Linked DNA regions of Arabidopsis thaliana. The protein of the gene in region 3 interacts with the protein of the main gene of each other region in a pairwise test. Each region holds a gene or a part of one and is shown on either strand. Other genes may lie near its edges.

Evidence for each region.
Region 1: the proteins of CYCD4;1 (region 3) and CDKD1;1 interact in a protein complementation assay, tested with the Arabidopsis thaliana proteins (one large-scale study listed by BioGRID).
Region 2: the proteins of CYCD4;1 (region 3) and CDKD1;3 interact in a protein complementation assay, tested with the Arabidopsis thaliana proteins (one large-scale study listed by BioGRID).
Region 4: the proteins of CYCD4;1 (region 3) and CDKB2;2 interact in a two-hybrid assay, tested with the Arabidopsis thaliana proteins (one large-scale study listed by BioGRID).

The regions. Positions count from the first base shown.
Region 1 is NC_003070.9:27,712,975-27,717,959, reverse strand, and holds CDKD1;1 (cyclin-dependent kinase D1;1), read right to left. Parts: upstream 3,051-4,985; 5' UTR 2,848-3,050; coding exon 2,752-2,847; intron 2,469-2,751; coding exon 2,170-2,468; intron 2,075-2,169; coding exon 1,966-2,074; intron 1,881-1,965; coding exon 1,755-1,880; intron 1,678-1,754; coding exon 1,442-1,677; intron 1,361-1,441; coding exon 1,079-1,360; intron 991-1,078; coding exon 942-990; 3' UTR 540-941; downstream 1-539. Other genes in the region: AT1G73700 (MATE efflux family protein), read left to right, coding at 1-81, 174-260, 347-406.
Region 2 is NC_003070.9:6,206,322-6,211,338, forward strand, and holds CDKD1;3 (cyclin-dependent kinase D1;3), read right to left. Parts: upstream 3,208-5,017; 5' UTR 2,979-3,207; coding exon 2,880-2,978; intron 2,735-2,879; coding exon 2,436-2,734; intron 2,350-2,435; coding exon 2,241-2,349; intron 2,141-2,240; exon of another isoform or gene 1,825-2,140; intron 1,812-1,824; coding exon 1,686-1,811; intron 1,533-1,685; coding exon 1,297-1,532; intron 1,218-1,296; coding exon 960-1,217; intron 856-959; coding exon 807-855; 3' UTR 550-806; downstream 1-549. Other genes in the region: AT1G18030 (Protein phosphatase 2C family protein), read left to right, coding at 1-46, 247-357; AT1G18050 (SWAP/surp RNA-binding domain protein), read right to left, coding at 3,641-3,921, 4,164-4,234, 4,945-5,017.
Region 3 is NC_003076.8:26,140,922-26,145,868, reverse strand, and holds CYCD4;1 (CYCLIN D4;1), read left to right. Parts: upstream 1-1,875; 5' UTR 1,876-2,118; coding exon 2,119-2,379; intron 2,380-2,526; coding exon 2,527-2,556; intron 2,557-2,685; coding exon 2,686-2,772; intron 2,773-2,874; coding exon 2,875-2,973; intron 2,974-3,064; coding exon 3,065-3,269; coding exon of another isoform or gene 3,270-3,343; intron 3,344-3,405; coding exon 3,406-3,533; coding exon of another isoform or gene 3,534-3,569; exon of another isoform or gene 3,570-3,756; coding exon of another isoform or gene 3,757-3,759; exon of another isoform or gene 3,760-4,130; coding exon 4,131-4,277; 3' UTR 4,278-4,399; downstream 4,400-4,947. UniProt on the Arabidopsis thaliana protein: May activate cell cycle in the root apical meristem (RAM) and promote embryonic root (radicle) protrusion.
Region 4 is NC_003070.9:7,291,866-7,296,360, forward strand, and holds CDKB2;2 (cyclin-dependent kinase B2;2), read right to left. Parts: upstream 2,882-4,495; 5' UTR 2,800-2,881; coding exon 2,567-2,799; intron 2,186-2,566; coding exon 2,044-2,185; intron 1,956-2,043; coding exon 1,894-1,955; intron 1,802-1,893; coding exon 1,690-1,801; intron 1,558-1,689; coding exon 1,464-1,557; intron 1,377-1,463; coding exon 1,307-1,376; intron 1,216-1,306; coding exon 1,077-1,215; intron 983-1,076; coding exon 887-982; 3' UTR 643-886; downstream 1-642. Other genes in the region: AT1G20925 (Auxin efflux carrier family protein), read left to right, coding at 1-28, 108-160, 249-434, 518-642; AT1G20940 (F-box family protein), read right to left, coding at 3,409-4,495.

The DNA.
Region 1 (4,985 bases), on a different chromosome or scaffold from region 3:
TGTGTGAATCTTGGATCATATTATCTTGTTGGAGTTCCATTAGGATTGTTACTTGGTTTCCATTTCCACATTGGTGGTCGGGTAATAATCTTAAACTCTCCTTCTCATTCTCAAGTTCAAACACAAGACTAGTTTTATAGAAACTTTTATTTTGTGGTATTTTCATATTGTAGGGGCTTTGGCTGGGAATCGTAACAGCATTGTCTGTTCAAGTGTTGTGTCTTTCCTTAGTCACTATATTCACAAACTGGGATAAAGAGGTAAAACCTTTTAACTGATCGGCTCAGTTTTATATGTATAATAACTCTGCCATAATGTGATTCTGTTTCTTGTTTTACATGATTAGGCAAAGAAAGCTACGAACAGAGTCGGATCTTCAGATGACAAAGATGGTGACGTCCAATGATCAATAAACGTCTGAGGAAAAAGCAGTTGCAAATGAGCTTAATGAGTGCTTTATTCTTGTATGCCCATATGAACTTATTGGGAATTTCTAATTGATGTGGCCGTACATTGGTCTTTAGAAAACTTTACCATTGTTACATAGTTATTGAAATTCCTTGGATGTGTTTCCATTCTCATCGAGCATTAGTGTAATGAGATCAAAAATTCATATATGTAATACACCAACGTGTTCGATACTAAAAATTCTGGACTTTAAATTGGAAATGAACGAAGAATGAGTTTGGGATCAGAGCTCTCTTCTAAACATAGGCCAAAAACAGAGATTTTTCTATGAAGGGTGTACATGATGATTAGTTAATCATCTGTGCTTTATATTCTTTATTTTAGACAGAAAGAATGATTCAAACTATTCGTCATCACTAGTTGTGATATGAAAAATTTCAGGAATTACTGAACGGAACCAACCAGTAAGAGAGATCCTATAGGCTATAGGAACCTGAAGAACGACGTCAAGAAGAAGCCTGTTACGCGATATCCTATAGGAACTCGAGATCAAGTTTCCTCTTCAGATGAGATCTATCTGCACTGCAAATCCAAAAATCAAGAATTCATCAAAAGTTTTCATTTTTTAAGCTGACCAAGAACTGACTGTAATAAAACCAATTGTTTTTACCTGGTGATGGTTGGTCGGTTTGGTGGCCGCTCAGCTAAGATGGTGAAATCTAAAGACATTGGTGCTTGTCCATCATGGCTAGCTTGTCTCATGACATCAACACTCTGGTCCTTGAAACCATTACCAGACTTTCCTCGGTCAGGCATCACTCTTCTAAACTTATGTGCTGGTGACAGCACTTTAATGGCTTCAAGTTTACTATCAGATGACTTAGCATCTTGCTTGGAAACTGGTCTTGGGAGCTTTAAAGGGTCAGTAGGTGAAGGTGCAGATGTGAAGTACCTTTAAAAAGAAATCAAGGTTTGAGAACAAAACTAAATAACCTGTTCTTATGCATTATCCATAGGGGAGATTTTTAGGTACCTGTGTTTTAGAGCCTGCTGAATCGATATTCTAGACTTGGGGTCATAGGTGAACATCTTTGACAACAAATCTAAAGCATCCTCACTAACCGTTGGGAGTAAAGAACGTAAAGAAGGAGCAGGGACAAATTGATACTCTACATAATCAGGAAGGCAGATCATGTCAGGCCACTGATCTGCTTTTGGAGTCCCAAAGGCAGCAAAGATTTTGCTTAATTGATCAATATCACTGTTTCCCTGCAATGGAATAAGTAAGTTAGATAAACAAGTAGACAGATGCACTGGATTACTACACAATCAAAATGGAGGTTCACCTGAAGAAATGGTCTGCGTAATAGAAGTTCAGCAAAAATGCAGCCAGCAGCCCAAACATCAACTGCACCATCATATTGTTTTGCACCAAACAAAAGTTCAGGTGCTCTATACCATCTAGCAAACACCTATGAAAATTGCTAAAGGACATCAAGATACGAAAGATAGCAGAACTACTACATAAATAGCATTGTCACAACAAACAAAGCATACCTGGTGGGTAAACTTACGACCTGGGCTACCAAATATACGTGCTAACCCAAAATCTGCAAGTTTCAGCTGTCCATTGGGTCCTATCAACAAGTTGTTTGGCTTCATATCTCTGAAACAAATACGAATGATCATCCATAAGTTTAAATCAAAACAGACCTTATTAGAGATAGAACAAGTTCTGCTTCTAAGTTCCAATGATAGTACCTGTGCAGAACCCATTTGCCATGGCAATATTCAAGACCTTTCAATATCATTTGGAGGTAAGATTTGACATCACCAGGCGAAAGATAGAGATTACGATCTCGGATAACTGCTTCGAGATCAGTCTCCATGAACTCAAACACGATGTGCAAATTCTCCTTGTGAGGAAACGCATCAATCAACTCAATTATATGTGGATGCTTAAGCTCTTTAAGTAATTTGATTTCTCTAAGAGCTGTTACATTCACACCTTCTTTCTCTTTACCAAGTCTTATTTTCTTGATCGCTACAGTTTCTCCATTCTACAAATTGCCACAACAAAACAAATCAGCTTCCTTATACAAACTTAAACAAAAACTACACACTTTAAATCCATTAAGAACATAAAAATGCAAACTTTGACTTCTAAGAACACATATTAGTGTAAAGATCGAAACTTTAGCTGATTTAAAACCTAAGAGCTATCAGATTTAACCAAATTGTTCCCAGGAAGAGACACGTCAAAAGACACACGACAGAATTGGAACCCTAGTTTCGATGGGATCGACAAAAAATATGAAGAATTGAGAGAGGAATCATCTTCACCTTTGTATCAGTAGCTTTGAAGACGACTCCATAAGTACCTTGACCAAGAACCTCTCGCTTTAGATACCTATCAGCAACTTTCTTCGGCTGTTCCATCTCCGGAACTCTCTAATCGGATCACAAGCAATTGATCGAAACTGATCTTAATTAATTTGTTATCGTTAACGTTGAGGTATCTTATGATGCTCTGGAGAAAAAGTAGCCGTTAGAGCAATTACAGAAGGAATCGACATTTTTAGGGGAAAATATTGAAAAGTAAACGAAAAAGGAAAGAGACGCTCTAAAGCTAGAAATAAAACGAAGCTGGAAGCGTCTATCGTAACGACGTCGTTTAAAGGTTTATAAATGAAAAGCAAAATTGTTCCGGTTTACTCAACATTGACTCGTCAATTATTCTTCGGTTTAAAATGTTATAAGTTAGTGGTTAAACAAAAGATGATTGTGAATATTAACATTTTTTTAGCTGTATGAATATTGGAACATTGCCTAAACATACTTAGAAATTAAAAAAAAAATCCAAGAAAATAAAAAGCTGCATCAACAAGTTGCCAAATTAACCTTGCTCATATTTTCCGCAGCATGGACCAGGAGAACACTACCGGATTAACTTCCGTTTCATGAAGCGTGGAATCAAGCCCAAATATAAGGCCCAAATAACTATTCCGAGAAGGTTAGACAAGCAACTGTTAACTTCTGGGCCCATATAATGGGCTCATAAGAAAGAGATGCAGCCCAATCATTAAAGTTTGCACAAATAATTAGGCTGATCAGTCCACTTTTTTTTAGGTGACCAAAGAAAACAAAGTAAGCCTAACATTTGAGTATGAACCAGAAAAATTTAGGATACTTCAGGGTCAAGTATTTTGCTAGTGAACATTTTTCATCATACAAATTTTTATTTAAACAACTCAAAAAAAAACTTACACGATGGATAAAAAAACACACTTAAAAATAAGCCATTGAATTGTGAAAGAGACGAGACTCGTGAGGGTAATAAGACAAGTTCGTTGTAATAAATCTAGCAATAGATTCTGCTCAGACAGAGAAATAATTACCTGCTTTCGTGCCCACATCATCAGACTTATAATCCTGACCGTACATCAACCTATTTCACTATTTCGTGTTGAAATTTCTAGTTGTTAGGGCTAACAAATGATTTAGAATTAGGTCACCAAACGGAAACACTTGTACATTATTTTCTAAAAGAAATAAAGAATGGTCGGCCAAATTCATTTTCAAAGTTACATCTTAAAAATGTAGTGGACTAGTAGTTGGCAGGAACGATAATAATTGTTATTTTTATTATCTTTACCCAAAAAAAAAAAGAGTGAAGCACAAAAGCCGAGAAGGACGCATGTGACGCGTAGGGAATCTAACACAAACAATGTCAGACCCTTCCCATGTCTTTTCAGATGCACCCACCTGTTCCTTTTTTTCTTTTCTTTTTATTCTTCTATCACGAATATCTAAACCACTATAATTACGACTCTCTATCTATCATTTCTTCCAAAACATGACGTGGCCTCTTCTCTCTCTCTCTTTCCTTCTCTCTAAGTATGTTTAGGGTTAATAATTAGGGTTCCTCCTCTCTTTTGTTCTGTCTTTATATCTCCTTCATAGCTCTAATGTAAGAGATTTACCTCTTTTGGTGTTTTTGTTAATCCACGTTCTCATCAAAACTTTCTCATTGTTTTATGAAGAGTTAAAGGTCTTTACAGTTTGCTTATGTCAGATCCATAATATATTTGACAAGATACTTTGTTTTTCGATAGATCTTGATCTGACGATGGAAGTAGAGCTCCTTAAAGTTCAAACATGAGTTGAGCAGGGTAAAGAAAAGCTGCTAAGCTATGGATCCCATAAGCCCTAATCCTTGTAAAGTAAAAAAGGATTTGGTTATATGGATTGCATATCTCAGGAGCTTTAACTTGCCCTTTAATGGCTTTTACTCTTCTTTGGATTGAAGGGAGCTCTACATCTTCTTTCACCTTCTCTATTTTTTATTTTTCTTTATTTCTACTCAACAATTATTTATTCGGATTCATCTTTAATTTTCCGTTATAATTTCTTTTTGGTAAGGATTATTCGCTATAATTTGAGAATTATATGGTTATTATTTTGATTCCGAAGCAATGTTTAGCGTGTTATTTGTTTTTCTTGTAAAAAACTAGGGTTTATGCAACTGCCTCGGGTAGATGAGAAGATCCTTGGTTCTTTGGAGACTTTTAAATTTT
Region 2 (5,017 bases), on a different chromosome or scaffold from region 3:
GTTTGGACCAAGTGATGCTGTTGGATTTGTCCAGAAACTTTTGAAGGTAAATACCTACAGTTGTCAAAATCACTTTGTCCTCCATTTCACACTCTCTTTAACTACATAGAAAGAAGCTCAAAAAACAGATGTTTTTCGGTAGCCATGTGAGCAAAATGGCTTGTTAGAACCTTGTGCACACAAGTAAAGAGTGTCAAGGGAAATTAAATGTGAGAAACTAAGAGGCTAAGAACTATGATTTTGTAGGAGGGCTTGCATGTAAGCACGGTAAGTCGCCGTCTTGTGAAGGAAGCTGTGAAAGAACGTCGTTGCAAAGACAACTGCACAGCAATCGTGATAGTCTTCAAGCGGGTATGACTAAAGAAGAGCCTGACTGACATGTGGGCATCTGTTTTTCTGGCTCGTATGTGTTTTATAAACCTGTTGTTGGTATTTGGTAAAATCTTTTTGAGCTGTCAATGGATCAATTAAATTCCTGGGGCCACCATCGAAAGAAAAATGAGTTTGAAGATTAAACAGAGCTCTCTTTGTACCGCAAAGAATTCTAGAAGCAAAAAGTAGAAAGCTTTATAATCATAGACTTCATAGTACAGTATGATCAGTTTACAATGAATAAAAAGCCTATGGGACAACAAAATATTATCATTGTGAATCTAAGGTCCCTCTGGTTTGTAATCAAGCTAAATATGGAAAAGAATAAATCGCCAGATTACACAAGCAGCAGTAAATTGACAACTTAACAATGGTGTGGTTTCACCAGAACATGAAAATGGAGAAGCTAAGAGAAGAGTGCATAACCAACAGTCTTACTGGAACTCAAGATCGAGTTTCCTCTTCAGATGAGATCTATCAGCACTACAAATTGAACAAGAAGAAGTCATTAAAACACAATCAATCTTGAGGCTGTAATGACAAATGAGATTAATATGCAGTGAGGGAGAAACTGTCTTGTTTTTTACCTGGTGATTGTTGGCCTGTTTGGAGGTCGCTCAGCGAGGATGGTAAAATCTAATGACATGGGTGCTTGTTGATCCTTGTCAACATGAGACTTCAAACTATCAACCCTCCCACGCTCAGGCATCACTCTTCTAAGCTTACGTGGTGGTGATTGCACTGTAATGGCCTCATGTTTACCGTAAGATGATTTACCATCCTGCTTAGGAACGGGCTTTGGGAGCTTAGCCGGGTCAGTAGGAGCAGGTGCAGAAGTGAAGTACCTGAAATAATGAAAACAAAGGTGTGAGAGCAGAACGCTAGATATACTTTGCCTATAAACAGATGGTGAACATTAGGCACCTGTGTTCTAGAGCCTGCTTAATGGAAATTCTAGCCTTTGGGTCATAGGTAAACATTTTGGACAACAAGTCGAGAGCATCATCACTAACTGCTGGGAATAAAGAACGTAGAGACGGTGCAGGGACAAATTGATACTCTACATAATCTGGAAGCTTTGTTAAATCCGGCCACTGATCTGCTTTTGGTGTCCCAAAAGCAGCAAATATTTTGCTTAATTGATCAATATCACTGTTTCCCTGCAACGGCAAAAATAGAATAAGTAAACATACCGAGAAAATTGATAATGAATATGTAATTATGTAGTCTGAGAGTGAGTATAACATCCAAAGAGATGACAATTGGACTAAAGTTTTAATGGTAGCCATTAGATTTGAGTAAGATTATTTAACCTGAAGAAATGGTCTGCGTAGTAGAAGTTCGGCGAATATGCAGGCAACGGCCCAAACATCAACTGCAGCACCATATTGTTTTGCACCAAACAAAAGTTCTGGTGCTCTGTACCATCTAGCAAACACCTGTGCATTATCAGATATATCAAGATATGAAGATAATATAACAACTAGAAACAAGAGAAAATAAGTTGCATTGCGCATTTGGAAACAGAGCTCACATGGATTCTATTGTAATTTTGGGTGTTCAAAGGGAAACAAAGAAGGCAGAAATAGCTCAGGTCAAAAATCCGGTTAACAGCAAAACTTTTAGTACAGATATGAGATAGCTACTGCACCATCATTTAATATGAGTTGAGACTGTTTAATACATGTTACATTTAGTATACAACTAGAGAAATGAAAAGACATGAGACATCTAATCTTCCTCATCCCTAGACATAACTACTGATAAGAACTACTTAAAACTTTCTTATCAATATTTCATATGAGTTAGTCGATCAATTTGGTTATATTACAGCAATAGATAAAATGGCAATGCGGCAAAAGGCATACCTGGTGGGTAAACTTACGATTTGGACTACCAAATATACGTGCTAAGCCAAAATCTGCAAGCTTAAGCTGTCCATCAACTCCTATTAACAAGTTATTTGGCTTCATATCCCTGAACTCAAGCCACACATAATCAGTGCCCAAACCAAGCAACATTACAGAGACAATAAGCAAGTTGTTAAGGATAAACAAATGTACCTGTGCAAAACCCATTTATCGTGGCAATAAGCAAGTCCTTTAAATGTCATTAGGAGGTAGGATTTAATGTCGGCGGGTGAGAGGAAAATGTTAGAATCGCGAATAACTGCTTCGAGGTCAGTCTCCATGAACTCAAAGACAAGATGCAAGTTTTCCTTGTGAGGAAATGCATCAATGAGCAGAATAATATGAGGATGCTTTAGCTCTTTGAGCATTTTGATTTCTCTGAGAGCTGTAATATTTACACCTTCTCTTTGTTTACCAAGCCTTATCTTCTTAATTGCTACAGTTTGTTCCGTCTGCAAAATTACACCCCACAATTACTTCCCCTTGATCCAACAAAAACTTCAATCAAAATCCGGAACCAAAAAAGAAGGAGAAATTAGGAATTGCCGACAGATCCTAAACCCTAATTTTGCAAACAAAAATCAGCAAAGATATGACCTTAGTATCAGTGGCTTTGAAGACGACTCCATAGGTACCTTGCCCAAGAACCTCTTGCTTGAGATACCTATCAGCAACTTTCTTTGGCTGCTCCGGCATTTTCGGGTTTTTCAGAACCCACTCAATAATCGCGCCTCTCTCTTTCTTCTTAATTCACGTCGCTAGAATTCGATTGCTTTCCGATTTTTATTCTAAATTGAGTAAAATCGACGATGAGGAAGATACCGGGAAAATTTAGGGTTTCAGCTTTGAGAGCTCCGGCTCCGGAGAAAAAGTAGCCGTTGGCGCGTTTGCAGACGCAATCGGCTAATCGAGGGAAACAACAAATAAAGAGAAACGCCCAATTATTTACTTTTCTAGTTTTTTATACATTTAATATCCAAACATTTTCGATTTATAAAAGAGAAAAATATTATTTAATATCTAAACTTTTAAACAATAGCTAAATTAATCGTGAATTTTTGATTTTTTGAAATGACTGTTTTATACCTCAACAAATTTAACCTATAACCTATAAAGCATATTAGCAATCCACGTGTTTTTGCTAGAGTTTAGCTGATTTCTTAAGAGCTATCGTTGCTGTTTCTCGTCCATATCCCCTTCCTTGATAGTTTCAAGCTCTTTGCCAGTAATCCATTCAGGGAGTATAGCTGCATACTTGCGAGGTGGTGGAGGCGGATACTTCATTGTCGGCTTCTGGTCACTAGCAAAGCCCGGAGGAGGTTTTGGAATCTGAAGCGGTGGTTCCCTTACCCTCACCCTCAATGGAACATCAGGTATCCCATAATCACTAAGTTTGATCTCAGGTCCCTCATGTAATTCTGCGCACGGTATCCAGCAAGCTTTTTCTGGTAATAAGCATGATAACGATCTGAGCTCCAGAAGAAGGAGTACTTTGGGTTTCCCGCATAGCTTGTCATCATCTTTCTCTCCATCTCAGGCCCCTCCATGAAAACCAAACGGGCTGAGCTATCCGCATAATATCTAGTCCTCGGAGGTACATCTGCCGGAGTTCGATTGCAAATCACTCGACATCTCTTTTCTATACAAAGAGAAACACAAAATAATAGATAAAGTTAACCCTTGATGACAAGAGATGCAAAGAGATCGATTGAATGTGTTGATTATCACTTGACCCTGAGCTCTATATGACTATATTTATACAAGGGGTAAACTACCAAGAAAACGAATTATCTTCCTAAACGTAAATATAAGAAAAGGCAAAGATACATATCCAAGGACTACTTAGGGTTTCGGAGAGAGATAACAAGTACCGTACCTCACCCACCGGAAAGTAACAGCCACGCCGCGAGAGCCACAGTGACGTCGTGAACGAACGAACTCTAGTTCTGAAGCTTGGAAATTGACAATTGCAAATCAACGGAGAATATCCTCTTAGAACAAATCCACGGAGCCCTATGCGTAGCCTAGCACTTATAGACGAGAAACTTGTGCTCCAGGTTTTATAATGGGCCTCTGTTATTCGGGCTTATAACTTCGGGCCATATTTACTTAATTTGAAGTTAAATTCGGTTTTGGGTCGAGATTTTGGGTTTTAGTTGTTTTTTGTTGTGAGAGACGTCGTTTTCCATTTTCACCATACATTATCTACTTAACCGGTAAGAACCAAATCATACATACATGAACTGTTATGTTATAAAACCATTCTGTTTAACATCAGAACATTACGGAAAAACGGTCTATTTCCCCATGGGAACTATCGCATCTGGCTAGATGAAGCCCGATCTTTGACCTCTTGCTATTTACCCATGAAATGAAAGTTAAACGTCTATTTCCCCACCAATTAAAAGTTCAAGAGCTTAATGTCCCCGAATCGTGGTTACTTCGGTTTGATACGTAAACCCGAGACGAAACCATATTATCGGTCAAAACCAAACCAAAAAAACCCGGATTCGTTTTTAAAACCCGATCCATTGTCGAATCCCAAATCCAAAATCTAAAACCCCAAACTCAAAACTCAAGAACCCTAAATCGATTCCCAATTTTTTTATTTCCAGTTGAAAGATGAGCAATCTGTCATCAAGTTCGTCGGGATCTACAGGACCTCGTGGTCGAGGAAGAGTGGTTGGAGTGCCAAAGAGATGTTGGATTATGTCCAGTTCTCAGAGCATAATCTA
Region 3 (4,947 bases):
TAACTTAAACTTTTGTTTCTTCTCACCGCTCGAAAAGATAATCAAATTTAAAGACAGTAAAAACATCAAAGTTTATTAGCTGACACGTGATTGTCACAATCACGTTATTACTATACTTACTACTACACTACCAACAAAATAAAAGAGCACCTTGGTAAAATGATATAATACATTTCTTTTATATCTTATAAAATTCTACAAACCGAAAGATCAAACATGCTCGCGGTCGTATAGTTTTTTTTTTTTTTAATTTATGTTAAAGGGTTTTTTGCGGTCGTATAGTTGTAGACTTGTTTCTACTTTACAATTTCAAAAAGCTGTGTGTTTTGGTGCGCATCGGTGATTTCTAAAACTTAGTTGGATAAGAATATATTGTATGAACAGGAGTTTATCTTTACAATTTTTTAAGACTCCGACTGATAATGAAGAAACGAGAAAATATGAAAATTGTAAGAATAACAGATATAATATAGAATGAAATTTGATTTTTGAAAGTAAGATAATCGTTTTCAAGGAAAAATTTTCTTTATTATTGCAATGAATTTTGTGTAATTCATTTGCTTCCTACAAAATACGACTTTGTTAACTAAAATGACAATGAGCTAATGTTTGATGTTTCATTCCATAACATGACTATATAGTAGTTGAAAGTTGAAACCAGTGGCTCGATGACTATTTGCCATGTAACCTCAAGCAAGAAATTCTCGTGTGGTGTTTTCAAGCAACTCGTCGCGTAGCTAGCTTTATTTTCATGTGGTAGAAAATTACTAATTACTATTTATAAATAAAAAATACTAATCTCCTTACAAATATACTAATGTAGAATCTTTGGAGGTGATAGAGCACTAGTTATTGACCTCAACTTGCAAGAGAACAAAAATAAATACTTTTATAAATATTAAAAACCTTATAGTTAAATCTTATAAGTTGGGTAAAACAGAAGACAGTATATTTGGGTAAACTAAAACCATATTAAAGAAAGACCATAATGTGTAAAAAACAAAGACCATATTGTGTAACAAACAGAGACCATATTTTGAACTTAAATGAGTATATGACGTAGTTCTTATACAAATATACAGTCTGCTTTTTCATTCAAAGGTATATGCAATGATGATAGATATTGAAATTATTGTGTCTAAAAGTGACCCTAGAATCAAAAAACAGTGGTCAAAGATCTACCAGAGCAAATGGTTCAAATATCATTATAGATGGATTTTGAGTCAAATTTTACATTCAAAACTTCTTTTTATTTGTGGCATGAATTTACATTAGTTTTTTTGGGGTCATTTTTATTTTGTTCAATGTCGGATATTGAAAATAAAATATCATGATTCAGCGTATATTTCGATCATAATATCAAATTGCATTATTTAGTCAAACAATTTTGTTAAAAAATATTTCCTAAGATTTATAGAATTCAATACTGTTTTAAACTATTAGTCAAACTATATATATTTTACTGTTATTAAAACAAGGAATAAAATTATGAAATATCAAAAAATATGTAAAGACATATACTATGATTAAATCTTTCAACATTCAATATTTTACCATTGAATATACAAAAATGTTAACTGTTAACTATGCATACAAGACCGAAATACAAATTCCAAAAAACTTATGGCGCAAATCTGATACCGAACTACCAACGATATTCACTCGATTCATCATCTAAAAACTAAAATACAACGAATAAAACCAACTAACTTTTCAATTCTCACCTCAATTTCCTACCACATTTTCATAATTTTCCAACTTCTCACATTTGTTACCATGATAGTCAATTCACTTTCTAAAATCTTCAAATTTTATCTTACATTTTTCATCTTCTTCACCATTATATATAGCCTCTCTCCTTCTCACACAATCTCCATCTTACCCTAAAAACCACATTTCTTAACTTCCTCAATAAAAAAAAGAAAAGCTTCACCCTTTAATTTTACCCTCAACCCCAAAACAAAAACCCCTTCCTCCACGAGGGCATACAGAAATATCAAAGACCCAATCTTTCTTTCACTTCCCCAATCTCTAGATGACAATCTAACGATACAGTTCCTTTTAGATCGATTACCAAATACAAAGGATCAATTTTTCTTACATGAACACTCTGTTGTAATGGCAGAGGAGAATCTAGAACTGAGTCTTTTATGTACAGAGAGCAACGTTGATGATGAGGGCATGATTGTTGACGAAACTCCGATTGAAATTTCGATTCCTCAGATGGGTTTTTCTCAATCGGAGAGTGAGGAGATTATCATGGAGATGGTGGAGAAGGAGAAGCAGCATTTGCCAAGTGATGATTACATCAAGAGACTTAGAAGTGGAGATTTGGATTTGAATGTTGGAAGAAGAGATGCCCTCAATTGGATTTGGAAGGTCTGATTCTCTATTTGATTTTGATTTCTGGTTTTGAAATTTGGATGTTGATTGGTTTTGAATGATCTGTATAAGCTCAAATTGTGAAAAGCACAATCCTTTTGATGAATGATCTGAACATAAAGAGTGTGTTGCTATGTCTATTAGATCAGAGGCTTATGCAGAACAGATAGAGAGGTTTTGTCTTAAATCTGTAAATCTGATGCTCAATTTCCGATCTTTCACACTTCAATTGACAATAGATTCACTTCAGTCTCAGAGTTTTAGATCTCTAATTGATCTTTTCTTCTGTTCTGATTACAACAGGCTTGTGAAGTACACCAGTTTGGACCATTGTGTTTTTGCTTAGCAATGAACTACTTGGATCGATTCTTATCGGTTCATGATTTGCCTGTAAGTTCACATTGGTTAAACTAAAAGATTGATAATGTTTTTAGCCATTCATCATCAAAAAGTCTCATTTTTTCGCTTCTTGATTTGTGATTCTTCTTGTAGAGTGGCAAAGGTTGGATATTGCAGTTGTTGGCTGTGGCTTGTTTATCATTGGCAGCCAAAATTGAAGAAACTGAAGTTCCAATGTTGATAGATCTTCAGGTTCTCCTCTAAACTCGTTAAATTGTCGAGATGTTCTATTCGACCCGACAATGTCTTGAATCGATTGCGGTTTGATCACATTTCGGAACAGGTTGGAGATCCTCAGTTTGTGTTTGAGGCTAAATCAGTCCAAAGAATGGAGCTTTTGGTGTTGAACAAATTGAAATGGAGATTGAGAGCAATAACTCCATGCTCATACATAAGATATTTCCTGAGAAAGATGAGTAAATGTGATCAAGAACCATCCAACACATTGATATCTAGATCATTACAAGTGATAGCCAGCACAACCAAAGGTGAAAAAAAAAGTCTTTCCTTTATGTTTTATTTTCTTGACCACTTTTGTTTTTGTGCTTTTTTGGGTTTTGTTGTTTTTTTCACTTTTGCTTTTTATGATTTTGGATTAAAATGGTGGTTGTGTCGAGTGAGCAGGTATTGACTTTTTGGAGTTTAGACCTTCTGAAGTTGCTGCTGCTGTGGCACTTTCTGTTTCTGGAGAATTGCAGAGAGTACACTTTGACAACTCTTCCTTCTCTCCTCTTTTCTCACTACTTCAAAAGGTAAAAAACAATCCACCAAACATCTCAAACTCATAAATCTATTGTTTTTTAATACCAAACACACACACACATATAAAGCAGCCTTTGGTGGTTCAATTTCAAGGAAATGCCAGTTGTGGAGAAGTTTGAACTCATTAAAGATGACACATTTATGTGTATATATGTGTGTGCACTAACTTATTCATTGCATACACATAATATGTGTAATTATAAATCCAAAAAGTAAAAAAAAAAAAAAAAAAAAAAAGAGAAACCGGTTAATGGGTCTGAATCCTTTGACTTCCAAAACTAGTGGAGAGTAGACCAAAGACCACTTTAAATTATATTATTCTCTAGCTATGTGTCTTGTGACTCTCTCTGTCACACACACACATTCACTGCACAGCCTCTAGTCACATCTAAAACCAATCTGCCCCCACAAAAACATGTTTGATTCTGATTTGATCTTGCAATCCAAAACATCAGCCTGGTTTCCATTAGTTGTTTTTCTACACCAGAAAAAGCTGAAGAGATCTTTGTGTGTTGTGTTTGTGTTTGTGTTCAAGAGACAAAAACAAAAGTGTCAAGCTTTAAACTTTGTGGTTCCTTTTATTGCAGGAGAGAGTGAAGAAGATAGGGGAAATGATAGAGAGTGATGGCTCAGACTTATGTTCACAAACACCCAATGGGGTTTTAGAAGTATCGGCTTGTTGTTTCAGCTTTAAGACCCATGATTCTTCTTCTTCTTATACACATCTTTCTTAAAAAAAAAACTGTTTTTTTCTTACATTATTATAATCAGTATGATGTCTGATGAGAGGTTGAAAAAAGAGGACAATAAATCAAAGCAAAAATTTTTAAATAAATAAAAGTGTATTAATTTCAATATTTGATTTGTTTATAGCTTTGGTAATACTGAACAAATAAAATTATAAGAATTTTTTGTTGGCAGGAAATAGCAAAAAAGAGAAAGAAAATAAAACAAAGGAAAAACAGAGCTTTTTTTAATTGGTTCCCGCCAAATAAATATAGCGGGAAAAAACCGTATCGGTTCTGTTGAGCGTTAGAGTTGACCTTTTTTAATTCAAACGGTGCCGTTGTGAGATAAAGCGCGCATCGCACTAATGGGCTTAGAATTGGGCCCACGAACAGAAGTCTTTGACTTAAAGTTGACGTAAAGAGACCAAAGCTAGGTTGTGCTTTATGGAGCTTTTGCGTTTTATACCTTTTATCAACAAAACTCCAAAATCCCAATATTTTATTGAAAACTTTTTAACAAAAAATAAATAAAATGATTGGACTCCAGGTCCACTAAACCTCTAGGATCTGTAACTATGAAGAAAATGGGCCAATGCTATATTCATTAAATTTAATCATTTGGGTCTACCATTGTCGCATGGCATACTAGCAATTTGATGATCCTGAAATAAAATAA
Region 4 (4,495 bases), on a different chromosome or scaffold from region 3:
TGATTGAGGACTCAGTATCTCTATTGGGGTATTCTACAACATATTAAAAATCTCACTTGTCAGTGATAATTAACAATGCTTACTTGAGTAGCTTAATTTTCTTGAAGGGACGGGGCGATTCCTGTTCTGACTCTGATTGTTGGAGGAAACCTTCTCAATGGTAGATAAACAATAACAAATGGCTGCAGAAACTTTTTTTCCTAAGACAAAACCTTAAATCTCTGTTCTCTCTCTTATAATAATCACAGGTCTGAGAGGTTCAGGAATAAACAAGTCAGTCATAATGGGTGTGGTGGTTGTGCGTTACTTGTTGCTGCCAATATTAGGAGTTTTCATAGTACGAGGAGCGCATTACTTGGGTTTGGTTACATCCGAACCGCTTTACCAGTTTGTTCTTCTGCTTCAGTATGTCGTTCCCCCAGCGATGAATCTTGGTTCGTTCTTCAGACTCACAAAAATACTACCAAAACATGTCATCACACTGTCTTTCTCATAAACTCACTTGACCTTTTGGCAGGTACAATCACTCAACTATTCGGATCAGGAGAAAGTGAATGCTCTGTGATTCTATTCTGGAGTTATGCCTTGGCTTCAGTTTCTCTCACTGTCTGGCCAACATTCTTCATGTGGCTCGTAGCCTGAACATCCACACACACACACTTACACAAATGGGAAACAGTTGCAAATCTTGCTACTTTGAAATATTAGAGAAACTGATATATTCTTTCATTGATAAAAATGTTGGAAGGTTATACAATTGGGAATAGAGACCCAATCAAAAGGGAATATTGAAACTTCAATCATCCTAAGATAGCAGATAAATGCTTGAGACAAGCAAAGACAGAGATAGAACAAAATATCCTATTGAGAGTTTATAAAGAGAGCCTCAGAGAGAGGACTTGTCAGGCAAATCATCGAAGTAAGGATGCTCCATAGCTTTCTTTGCTGAGATTCGTTTTGCTGGCTCGTACTCCAGCATTTTCTGTGCACAAAGAGAAACACAAATTAGTCTCAGCAGAGTGATTATCTACTAATCAAGCAAGGTCTGAGAGGTGTGTTAGACACTAGAGACTTACAGATAAGAGATCAAGTCCAGCCTCGTCGAGGTTTGGCACAGCTGTGGAGAGACTCAACGGTTTCCATTGCGGGTATTCATGCCAGTCCTTGAGTTTGCTTACTCCAGGCCAAACTTCTTCGTTTGGTGTTCCCAACAACCTGAGTTTGACAGGAAAGAAAGAAACAGAACAACCAAGTTAGCGAATGTCATGTTTGTGTCTTAAAGGTAAAGATGAACACAAAGACTTACCTGAATATACGGAGGAGCTGTTGGAGCTCAGAGTCTCCCGCAAAGATTGCTTGCTTGGTCACTAGTTCAGCTACACATCAAAAAGGAAACAAAACTGTTAGTTCTTGCTAGTGACATTGAACTGAAACCAGTGAAACTGTAAGAGAAGATTTTGTACCAAAAATACAGCCAACAGACCACATATCCACTCCAGTAGAGTAATGGGTTGCTCCAAGAAGAACTTCCGGAGCTCTATACCATAGAGTTAGAATCTGTTGCAAATGAAATCATGGGGGTAAAATCATCCTGAGTTATAACTCCAGATAAACTAAGATAGAATTAAAAAAAAAAAAAAAAACTAGAATGAAACAGGACTAATGTTTCATCAACGTAGACTTATATACCTCATGTGTATACTTTTTCATTGGGAGAGTGAAGGCTCTGGCTAATCCAAGATCTGCTATTTTGAGCGTCATTGTCTTCCGGTCCATCAAGAGATTGTGAGGCTTAAGATCCCTGTAATGAAACCAAGACAAGTAGGATTAGAGATCTGTGTCAAAATGGGTTATCTCAAGTCATAGTTCTTCCAAAACAAAGACGATTTTTACCTGTGCAACACTCCATGACCATGGCAAAAAGCCATGCCTTTGCATAACTGGTACATCAAGCACTGCAATTCAAGAACATGTTTCTCTTAGCTTAAAGGGGCTTATCGGATGAGAGAAAAAAAGCAGAACAAAATCTCCAAATATCCAAACCTTGACAGTATTTTGTGGAATGTTCTGTCCAGCTTGACGAAAGCTTCTGATGAATTTCTTGAGATCAGTATCAACATACTCGAAAACAAGGTAAAGTACAGTTTTTCCTTCTTTGTTTATTCCTTGCTTAACATCCATCAACCTGTAGAAGAAGATAATCATCATAACAATAATCTCTCAGTAGAAATGCAATCACCACAAAAATAGTTGAAACTGAGATCACAACACAGAGCTTCTACTTTGACATTTTCTAGTATTCGGATAAGATAAGGAACCCATTTTATCTCGATCGGACCACACAACAAATAGCAAACTGAAACTAAGATCTACCAGTAACACCTAAGAGCGACACTAAGCGCGATTTGCAGGAAGAATCAGAGTCATCAAATCAATTGAGACATCAATTAATCGGGACTAAACCCTAGAAATCGAAATTGAGTCCTAAATCCACAATCAAAACCAGTAAATCGGAGAATTTCAGAAAGTGACTGAACCGAATCAGAAATGTAAAAGGAAATCGAACCTAACGATGTGAGGATCACGAGCGAGCATACGCAAGATAGAGATCTCGCGAAGAGTAGTGGGAGGAACACCTTCTTCATCCTCATGGAGACGCGTCTTCTTCAAAGCAACGATCATCCCAGTAGCTTTCTCTCTTGCTCTGTAAACTTTCCCATAAGTCCCTTCACCTACTTTCTCAAGCTTTTCAAAGGCTTCCATGGCGGAAACAGCGGGTTTAACTCCATTGTTGTCCATCTCTATCAATCTCTCAAGACAACTCTTCTTCTTCCTTCGCGAATCTCAGATTTTGTTTTCAATTTGGGGAAAGAGAGAGGAAATGTAATTAGATTCGAGAATTGGTTTAAATAGGAAGGAGATTATTAAAAAGGTATATTCCCTCTTTGAGCACTCATGTTTTTTCAACGGTTCTTTTTTTCTTTTTTCAAAATTCAAAACTGGAGCGTCGTCATTAGTTTTTTTTTTATGTTCTGTTTTTAAGTGTGACGTGGAAAAAGTGAATAACCAATGTTTGTCAACATCCGGAGACGGTTTAGCTACACGAAAGGAAAAAAAAAAGGGGAGAGTTTGTTTTTTGGTCAAAAGGTGTGAGTTTGTTGTTAGATTCGACAAAACACACAAGATGGGCCTTTATTGGGCAGGACGAAAAATTGACAAGCCAGAGAAGAACAAGTTCTTAAACAACATTGTCTTAAATGATTTTTTGTCCCAAAAGAAATAGTAATATACAACTAATTTTTAGATTTGAAATACATAAACCATAATAGTGCAATGATAAAAGCAAATGGGAAACAAACATTCTTATAAATCAGGACATTTTTTGTATAATCTATAGGCCCTAAATGTTTACTTGGTGGTATCAATGAGTCCCATAATCGAATTTATATAGGAGATGCGTCGGTCATTAGAAGCAACAAGCACCTTCTGTTGCTCATCCTCCTCTACAAAGAACAAGGAGGGCGTCAATTTATAGAAATCTCGGACGCAATTGGGCCAAGCAAGGGTTGACACCAAAACTCCCCAACTGTTAGCTTCCATGTCGTACACATGAAGAACACTTGCCAAAGGTTCTAAACCCATCTTTTTCACCCTCACCACAAGACACTTGCCATCGTACATAGCTATGTTCCAATATACAAGCGTTTCTTCCTCGATAGATATGTTCTTGATCCGCCTTGTGAGTGTCCATTTGTGATTCTCGACAAGTGTGTAAACGGAGATTGTTTCTATCGTCCCCGAAATTAGGGTCAGGCGATTGATCTTAACGCTTTCCGCGAAAAGTAGCTTCGTATCCGGTTCCCGATGAAATATGGAAGGAATCAAGCATGCTTGCTCTGTCTCGGGATTAAAAGACATGATGCTGCCATCGTTTCTCAGCCAGTGAAGAGTGTTGTCCAAGTAAACAGGTTTCATCCGCGTAGTGAGATCACTTTTTGAGCTAGTGGTGATACTCGTTTCCGATAATCTCCAAGAGTCTCCTTCGTTGATCTCGAATCCGTATACGTTTTCCATCTCGAGTATGCCCACGATCTTGAATCTCTTGGTTGTTAGATTTCGATTTACCGCAAATCCAACGCACATCGCTCGTTCCGTACAAGCAACATTACCTCCAGGATAACTAATTCCGCTAAGACCTTTAAGTCCACCATTAACTATCATTGGTATAAGCTTTGATCCAGAATGATCCAGGATTCGAAACCTTTTTGTTAAGGGATTTGCAACAAAGAGACAACCAATGTACAATAGGAGAAGACCAGAGCATGAGCCGAAAATGTAACAATCCGCACTACCATCAAACAGTTCTACTCCATTTCCCGGTGACATATAATCGCATGAAGAGACCAAAGGATGGCAACATACATAAGTAGCGCCATAGCTACCAAGGTTAAACAAACTAGGTCTGACCCATGAAGGATATTCCGGTCCAAATCTT